Drosophila melanogaster: one gene and its partner. Changing the gene in region 1 together with any one later gene gives a genetic interaction. Each region holds a gene or a part of one and is shown in the gene's direction. Other genes may lie near its edges. The genes, in order: Bsg and sicily.

Evidence for each region.
Region 2: of Bsg (region 1) and sicily, changing one suppresses a phenotype caused by changing the other (phenotypic suppression), as found in Drosophila melanogaster (one study listed by BioGRID).

What each region holds. Positions count from the first base shown.
Region 1 is NT_033779.5:8,086,420-8,091,447, forward strand, and holds the start of Bsg (basigin), read left to right. Parts: upstream 1-1,884; 5' UTR 1,885-2,097; intron 2,098-2,190; exon of another isoform or gene 2,191-2,286; intron 2,287-2,683; exon of another isoform or gene 2,684-2,974; 5' UTR 2,975-3,244; coding exon 3,245-3,317; intron 3,318-5,028.
Region 2 is NC_004354.4:11,889,615-11,894,245, forward strand, and holds sicily (severe impairment of CI with lengthened youth), read left to right. Parts: upstream 1-2,117; 5' UTR 2,118-2,423; coding exon 2,424-2,605; intron 2,606-2,674; coding exon 2,675-2,789; intron 2,790-3,115; coding exon 3,116-3,741; intron 3,742-3,975; coding exon 3,976-4,057; 3' UTR 4,058-4,131; downstream 4,132-4,631. UniProt on the Drosophila melanogaster protein: Involved in the assembly of mitochondrial NADH:ubiquinone oxidoreductase complex (Complex I) at early stages. Interacts with cytosolic Hsp90 to chaperone the Complex I subunit ND-42 in the cytoplasm.

The sequences.
Region 1 (5,028 bases):
TCGACAGTTTTATTTTGTGCGAACACGTCAATTATGAGTAATAGATTTTTCGCTTTATCAACTGGCAAGAACTTTGGAAAATTTGTCAATTATTAGTACTTCTATTGTCAACTACAAGTCCTATGACTCTTCTTGCTTCTTTATTATTTATGAACTCATTGCAAGCATTGCAAAATGTTCTCTATGGTTTGGTTGTTGGAAACACCTCATCAAATACTATATACCCCCCTGATCGCTTTAATCTCAGCGGGCAATGCGAACAGCTGATTTCATATTTGCTCTCGCAAATTTGTAAAAATAAATACGGCTGACCAATAATAAATGCGACGAGACAACCCCCCTCGATGCCGCCAACCCGCAAAAAACCCCTACCTTTCCAACACCCATGCCGAATTAGCAAAGTTCCCTGCCTTCCGAAAAGATGGAGATCTACATTCGTGTGCGAACCGCATAGAACCGCCCGAAACCAGAGCGGCAGTGCGAGCGGGACGGCAATGGACCAGAGGCGGTCAGTTTGGACGGTCTGGTGGTCTGGGTCTTTGGGACTCGGCGACTGGGCCGCGGACATCTGACGTCGTTGTCGACCATGCTCCGGCTACGGTATTATATCATGTGGCCAAGACGTTGGTGTGGTTTTTGGTTGCGGTAGTATTGGTGTTGGTGATACGGACGGACGGACGGAGTCCCGTATTTGTTCAAAGTACTGCATTGGGGCTTTATCTTAATGCGATAGAATGAGAGTCGGATTCGTGACACGTTACGGAAACATTTCAACTGGCGTTCTATCTGCTCTGCTGAGGGCCGCACGTCGTCTGGCGGTAAACAAAAAATCCAGCGCACTATGATTTAGCGTTGTCCGTTCGACGGTTTTATTGCCAAAAGTTTGAGAATTTATTTTGACTAGTTTTTTTTGAGCTGTTTCCTTGTATAACACAATTGCTTTCAAAAATGTTTACGTGTTTTATGGCTTTTATTTTGGGGGGAAATAGAAACGAGTAAGAATTTTAATTCTTATGTAAGGTTTATTATTTTAGCTGTTTTTCAAACATTGATGCCTTTCGTCAGTTGAGGAATTTTAAAGCTAATGTTCATGGATAATGAAATCGGCCAGCTCTGGTGATAGCTTCTACCCTTTTTTTTTTCTTATCTATTCTGCTTACTCGGTGACTGTCCTCCCGCATTGATAAGAGTGGGAATAGTTGTTTTCTCGACACATCCGCAATACGAAATTCTAGAAGTAATAATAGATCTCGGGCCAATTGTTATCAGCTTTTATGCGGACGTCATGCGGTGAAGCAAATGGAATGCTATTTTTCTTCGATCGTCAAATAATTGGTCGTAATTACTCGCAGACTCTGTCACTTGGTGATTTTTGTTGAATCATTGCTCGATTGCAATTTGTTTGATACTGTTCCTTAAGTGCTTCTATAGGCTGAGAGAAAAGTGAATAAAAGTAGCGTACTTTCAGGCCCATACGAGCACAAGTACATTGTAATTCCGTCAATTTGGGAAATTCCTATTGAACTGTAAGATAAGGTTTCCAAGAGCAAATATTGATTAATAACTCAATTTATGGTTTTAAAATTTTTTTTAAGTTTCTAGCTAATTTAGTAGCTTGAAGTCAGACCTAGCTTCTGCATTTTGTTTTAAATAAAACAGGTGATTTCAAATTCCTAAAGATTCCTGTATAATGAAAAAATGTCGTTTAAACTCGATTTATTTTTCGCCATTTTGTACAGTACTCGTAATCGGTCTGGTCAAGATAACGGCCGAACTATTTAGATAAGCTGACAAGTGTATGTCAAACTGAACCCAAATCACTGTGCGTCGACGTCGCTGCCGCAGCGAAGGCGGCTACTCTCGTCCGTTGGTCATGTGTGCGATTCAGTCTGCTCGCTGAATTCGCCGCGTTCGCTCTGTTCGCTCTGTTCTGTTTGCCTCGTTTTGGCCCGTCCGTTTGCCAAATTTCGTTTGCTTTTTGTGTTCCCGTTGTGCAAGAACAGCCAAACAGAAACAACAACTACACTAGTACAAGTACGTGCAGCAACAACAATGGCCATTGGCTAAAAAGCAGCTAGAAATTGTTGCGCTCCTTGTGTAAAACATAATTATTTGCTCTCAGTCTCAAGAATCCCTCACTCTCTTTCTCTTGCTTTCACTCTATCTCCCTCTCTTTTGCTCGTTGGCTAGCCAGAAAAATAGTATTTTCGTCGTCAACGTGCCATAATTTCTTTTTTCTGCTTAGCCAGCAAAAAAATAGAACTTTTGGACTGGGAAAAGTTAGATGTGCGTTTGTGTGAGTGCGTGTGAAAAAAGAACTGCAAAAGTTAACGTTAAATTAGCGGGCTAAAAGAAAAACCCAACCACCCGCCGCCCCACTTATGTGAACAGCACGTGCTTAGCTGCAGTGAAAATAAAACAAAAAAAAATTAAATGTGACATTTGAAAAATTATACATTTAGCTGAATGTTGAATGTTGTTCGTTCGGCTTTCGTTTTGATTTTGATCTTTTCGATTTGTTTTTGTATCCTTGATTCCGCTCCTCTCCACAATCTCTTCTTAATTTGAATATTGATGTATAATTTTAAAAAGTTTTCTCTCACTCGTCTTTCCTTTTGCCTTTGTTGTTGGAAAAAAGCATACAAATAAAACCGAACGAAAAACACAACAAAAAGAATACGGGGAAGCGCACGAAAAGTTTGCCTTCATACGAAAATAAATGCAAAATGAGAAATTTTCTTAAATATTTTTATTTGCGAATATAGCTTCATGAATTAAGAACAAAATAGGAAAGCTGGAAGAGCCAAAAAATAGAAAAATTCGCACTCAAGCAAAACACCAAACGGAAGATCCAAAGCAAACAACCAACCAACAACATCAACAGCATCAACTAATATCAAATTAAATAACTAAGCCTAATAACGTATACATTTAAAGATCTATTTATAAATTAATATTTACCATAATGATTTAGTAAGTTAAGCTTAAAGTACAAAAAAAAAAAAATAAGAAAAGCAAAGAAAAAGAAACACCACAACCAACAACAACATCAACAACCAACCAACCAACAGCCACAAATAATTAATCAATCATTAAACGGAGTAAATTCACAAATCTGTAATAAATGCAAATGACAAGGAAATAACGAAAACGACAACAACAACAAGTCACCGCCAACAACAACAACCACACATCGGCAGCATAATTAACAACAACCAACAACAACAACGGATCAATACCAAAGATGGAGGCAAAATTCTTGGCTAGCGCTCTTTCATTCCTCTCGATATTTTTAGCGATTTATGCTCAATCACTTGGTGAGTACAGCCCCCCGAAAAAACCCCTCTAAATCTAAAAGAATGAACCCCCTACAATAAGCATAATGATAAACAAAGAAGGCCCTTTTAACCTATAAGTTGTACCCCGCCCATAAAATCACCCTGCCCCAACCACACACCCACCCATACACACATATAATATTAACACACCTATGTACGTAGCAGCCCAGTATAAAGGAATACAAAAAATATACATACATATGTATATGGGGGAAAGTATGGTTAAACTGCAGCTGTGATAGCAGAAATTGCAAAACAGAACACAACCGAACCGAACAAAGCAAAACAAAGAGGTGGAGCAAGAGGAGGAAGGGAATAAATAAAAAACAGCAGATTGTTTGTGGCTTACTGTAACACCCACTAACCTTATCCCACGCCCCCTAATTGCCCCGCCACCCAAAACAAAAGTGCACCCACCAAAGGGCGAGGGTGTTCGTCCACCCACCACCTGACTTTTACCCCTTCCAAGTTCACCCTAAAGCCAGACCCTAGCCGCAATAATGGAAACAAACAGTATTAATACGAGGCGACTTAAATCAATGGTAAAGTTATCGGAGAAATGTATCGATAATTCTTCAAATTAGGGGATCTCAGAAAGGGGCACTTTGCTGGTCCTTTAGCCACAAGACACAAATGGGTTTTACCAGCGATATTCGAAAATATTAATATATTTGAGTCCGCGCTTTTAAAAATGAAACTTTTATTTCGTTCACGTTCTCGTCTTTGAATAGAACCACAAAATGGACAATCACATTTCTTTTTTGCCCGGCTTTATGTATTCTCTTTTCATATTGCACGGGACACCATCCACCCACCAGCCACCCACGAGCCACCCACCATCCATTTTCCAACTTTGGACAAGGTCTCTGTGCTGCATTCTACTGTTTTGCCCTCTAGTTAAGCGGACTTCGATATTTTCGTGTTGCTTTTATAGTTCATATTGTTGGGTCGGTTGGATGGACTTGGGATTGGATTGCAGTGCTGCCATATTGACATTGTTGCTTATGTTTTTTCCCCCTGCCGTTTTCGTCGTAGGTTTTCCGTCGCTTTTCCACTGTTCGCGCGACCGCATTTCATTTGATTTTCAATTTTCCACACAATTGCTGAAAGAGAACAGCGGCGAATGTCGGAAAAAAAAAGCAGAGGAGCAGAAGCAGAAGCAGACGCAAAAGCAGAGTATCAAGTTCATTTCGGTTCTAGTGAGGGCTATCTTTAAGAATTTTTGTTTAGCCTTAAGAAGACTATTTTACATGCGGTCCAATAATTACGGCCTGTCTCTGGTTTTCCCCGCTTGTTTATATTAACTTTAGCCGACCCAAAGCGAAGCGGACCAGAACGAATCGATTTACCGATTAACCGATACGTGCCCGATACGTACCCGATACGAACCGGCAACGGTGGCCTGCATTTTGTTTACATATGGAACTGGGCAGCCCCGCCTCGCACCTTCCACCTTCCTTGGGGATTTGTCTATGATGCCCGCGCGGGCGGTTCCATCTATTTATTATTCTATGCATACTATCCATTTACCTATTCTACTTTATTCCATACATCCATCTATCTACATATCTATCCGTCCGTCCGTCTGAATATCTGAATGTCCGTCTGGCTCTGGCTCACTACCAAAACCTACGTATGTTCATGAATTTTGATTTTTTTTTTCGCTAAACTGAACGTTTGGCTGGTTTTG
Region 2 (4,631 bases), on another chromosome or scaffold:
ATACTAACAACCCCTATCACTTTAAAACGGATTTTGTAAAATTAATTTTTGGCCAAATTTTCACATTTTTTGTAAGGGGTAACATCATCAAAATTTGCAAAAAAATGAAAAATCCTAGAATTCCCAAACTTGAATGCAAATCGATTGGGATTTAAAAAACAAACTCAACGAGGTATGACATTCCATATTTGAGTCATTATTTTCAATGTTTTGATCAAAATACCGAATATTTTTTTCACAAAAAATCTGGGAACTACTTTTGGCAAAAAACTCAATTTTCAAGTTGGCTCTTTTGGCTATAACTTGTCTAAAAATGGTCACAGAGCAAAAATAATTACCATTTTATACTCCTTATGACCAATACTAACAACCCCTATCACTTTAAAACGGATTTTGTAAAATTAATTTTTGGACAAATTTTCGCATTTTTTGTAAGGGGTACCATCATCAAAATTTGCAAAAAAATGAAAAATTCTAGAATTCCCAAACTTGAATGCAAATCGATTGGGATTTAAAAAACAAACTCAACGAGGTATGACTTTCCATATTTGAGTCATTATTTTCAATGTTTTGATCAAAATACCGAATATTTTTTTCACAAAAAATCTGGAAACTACTTTTGGCAAAAAACTCAATTTTCAAGTTGGCTTTTTTGGCTATAACTTGTCTAAAAATGGTCACAGAGCAAAAAGAATTACCATTTTATACTCCTTATGACCAATACTAACAACCCCTATCACTTTAAAACGGATTTTGTAAAATTAATTTTTGGCCAAATTTTCACATTTTTTGTAAGGGGTAACATCATCAAAATTTGCAAAAAAATGAAAAATCCTAGAATTCCCAAACTTGAATGCAAATCGATTGGGATTTAAAAAACAAACTCAACGAGGTATGACATTCCATATTTGAGTCATTATTTTCAATGTTTTGATCAAAATACCGAATATTTTTTTCACAAAAAATCTGGGAACTACTTTTGGCAAAAAACTCAATTTTCAAGTTGGCTCTTTTGGCTATAACTTGTCTAAAAATGGTCACAGAGCAAAAATAATTACCATTTTATACTCCTTATGACCAATACTAACAACCCCTATCACTTTAAAACGGATTTTGTAAAATTAATTTTTGGACAAATTTTCGCATTTTTTGTAAGGGGTACCATCATCAAAATTTGCAAAAAAATGAAAAATTCTAGAATTCCCAAACTTGAATGCAAATCGATTGGGATTTAAAAAACAAACTCAACGAGGTATGACATTCCATATTTGAGTCATTATTTTCAATGTTTTGATCAAAATACCGAATATTTTTTTCACAAAAAATCTGGAAACTACTTTTGGCAAAAAACTCAATTTTCAAGTTGGCTTTTTTGGCTATAACTTGTCTAAAAATGGTCACAGAGCAAAAAGAATTACCATTTTATACTCCTTATGACCAATACTAACAACCCCTATCACTTTAAAACGGATTTTGTAAAATTAATTTTTGGCCAAATTTTCACATTTTTTGTAAGGGGTACCATCATCAAAATTTGCAAAAAAATGAAAAATCCTAGAATTCCCAAACTTGAATGCAAATCGATTGGGATTTAAAAAACAAACTCAACGAGGTATGACATTCCATATTTGAGTCATTATTTTTAATGTTTTGATCAAAATACCGATTATTTTCTTCACAGAAAACTGGGAAACTATTTTTGGCAAAAAACTCAATGTTTAAGTTCGCTTTTGTGGCTATAACTTGACTAAAAATGGACTCACAGCAAAAAGAATTACCATTTTATACTCCTTATGATCAACACTAACCATCCCTTTAACTTTTTAATTGATTTTGTAAAATTAATTTTTGGACAAATTTTCGCATTTTTTGTAAGGGGTACGTACCATCATCAAAATTTGCAAAAAAATGAAAAATTCTAGAATTCCCAAACTTGAATGCAAATCGATTGGGATTTAAAAAACAAACTCAACGAGGTATGACATTCCATATTTGAGTCATTATTTTCAATGTTTTGATCAAAATACCGAATATTTTTTTCACAAAAAATCTGGAAACTACTTTTGGCAAAAAACTCAATTTTCAAGTTGGCTTTTTTGGCTATAACTTGTCTAAAAATGGCCTCACAGCAAAAAGAAAAGAAGTCAAGAAGATTACGCATGGCAAAAAAGCAATATTTACGGAAGATAATGTATTTATATACCTAAGCTAAGCTTTATATGGTAAACTACCTAAGCTAAGCTATAATAATGCATTATAAATTTACCAACAAGTCACATACAGCATTTTGAATCTTCCGCCAAATGAAATTTCCGCGTAATCGCGAATACCCCATATGTAGTAACTTTCTGACAGACCGAGTGCGATCTGGCAGCACCGCTCAGAACATATGTTCAGTTGTCTGGTGGAAAGAAGAAGCACAGATGCGGCGCCTGGTGCGAAATTGGAATTGCCGATTGTTATTTAACGCCAAATCCGGCCAAGAAATTGTCAGCCATGCCGGAATTCACCAGGAGGCCAAGACCAATGCGATTCCCAGGGAAAAGAAAGTGATTGAGGCGGACAAGAATGGATACGGGGCCAAACATTGCATGAGTCTAGTGGAGTAAGTAGCGCAAACTTGTCGATTGAAGTTATCCGTATAATTGAACATGGATCTATTCCGGATAACCAGGAAATACGACTACGAGAACTACCTGTGCACCTTGCTCCTACCACGGGAACTGCGACGTGCTGCCTTCGCCCTACGGGCATTCAATGTGGAGGTCTCCAGATCGGTTAGCGGCCATGTGAGTGGAGCATCGAAATTCCTTGGGGCTTATTTTTTAAGTTAGAATAACGTGGCGCCTTAAATTCAGACTCCGTTCAGACTCTGTTACTCCGCATCAATATTATTGTAAGCATAAGTGGCTTATGTCCGCATCTCATGAATATTATTACCATTTCGAACGGTTTCACAAATCTCTTAATTTCTTATGTACACTGCAAGAGTATAATTTCTCTCCTTCCTTTAAAACGGATAGAGAAATTCGTAGAATAAGCAACACTTCGTAGTTTTTAAACTTCTTATTTCTGTCCAGTAAAATCGTTTATATAATGACAAATATCCTTGCAGCAAATTGAGCCGCAAATAGCCAAAATGCGCCTTAAGTTCTGGCACGACTCCATAGACAAGTGCTTTGAGCCGGATTCCCAAAGATCGTACGTGGAGGACCAGCCTGTCCTGCGCGAACTGAAGCACACGGTGGGCAGTCGCAAGCTAAATAAGGTATATTTGCGCCGTCTGGTCACAGCACGGGAACGTCCGCCCACGCATGCATTTGAGTCGATACGCGAGCTGGAGGAGTACACGGAACAGACCTTCTCTTCGCTATTGCTCCTGCTGTTGGAGGTGGGCGGAGTGCGTGACCTAAATGCTGATCATGCCGCCTCCCACTTGGGCAAGGCCCAAGGCATCGCCACCCTGCTGCGATCGATACCGCTGGCAGGACGTCAGCAGGCGCCCTGCATTCCGCTCGAGGTGCTGGTGCTGCATGGCGTCAGCCAGGAGCGCATCATTCGCTCTAAGAGCGACGACAAGGGTGTCGAGGACTGTATATTCGATGTGGCCAGTGCCGCCAATACGCACCTAAAGCTCGCCAGGCAGCTGCACGATAAGGTGCCGCCGCAGGTGCGCAAGATCTTCCTCTCCGCCGTGGCCACGGATGCATATTTGGAGCGCCTCCGCCGTGCCAACTTCCTGTGAGTTCCTTTGTTTTATATTGCTTTGTTTTATATTACGACAAACACAGGAGAGAACCAGCTTCTTTTTGTAGTTAAGATGTTATTTTTATCCAGTTATAAGTACGATTTGCCTTTATTGAGACTTCTTTATTTCAAAACCTAGCTATAGTTTGTTGGTTGTTCAGTATTCATGGAGCGGACCCTTCTTTTTATCAATCCCCATAATAATATAATAATTTTCCCATCTTATAGGCTAACCCACAAGAGCTGCGTAGGCCGCGACACCTTACTGCCAGCACGTTTATTCTGGAAGTCGCTGCTTAATCGGTTCTGATAGCGATTATGTTAGTATGTAGTACGAAATAAATTCTTCATTGTTGACTTCTTTAATAAAAATCACTTTAAAATAAGAGCTCTTACTTTTTCTCGAATCAATAGAAGAGGATTTCCAATGTTTATAAGAATACGAATATGAATCGGATCGGGGATCTTTTGGATGAAATGGGTTAAGAACGGTTGCAGGAATATCGCTATCTCGCTTCGAATCGGGACGTAATTACTATCGATGACAGGTGCACCAAAGGTTCGTCCCGACGAAGGTATCGGTGGATACGATGCAAGACCCGATTGGTACAGTAGTTGCTAGCTGATTTCAGAGCGTTTCAGGCGCAGTTTTAGTTTTTTATGAATGTTAGAATTGATGTGGAAAGTGTGTGTTGGATATTAATGAGAACGGAGCAGTGCGACGATCGCTCAACAAGATAAGCACCGTTTGTTTTTGGGCCCGTTTCCGGCTTCCGGTTGCTAGTTCCGGAAAAATTGCAACGCCTACTTTACGCGTACTTTTGGCATGGTGAGTTTTTGGCGCGCTTTCTTCGCACTCCTGGATTGAACTTTGTAAACCCAGA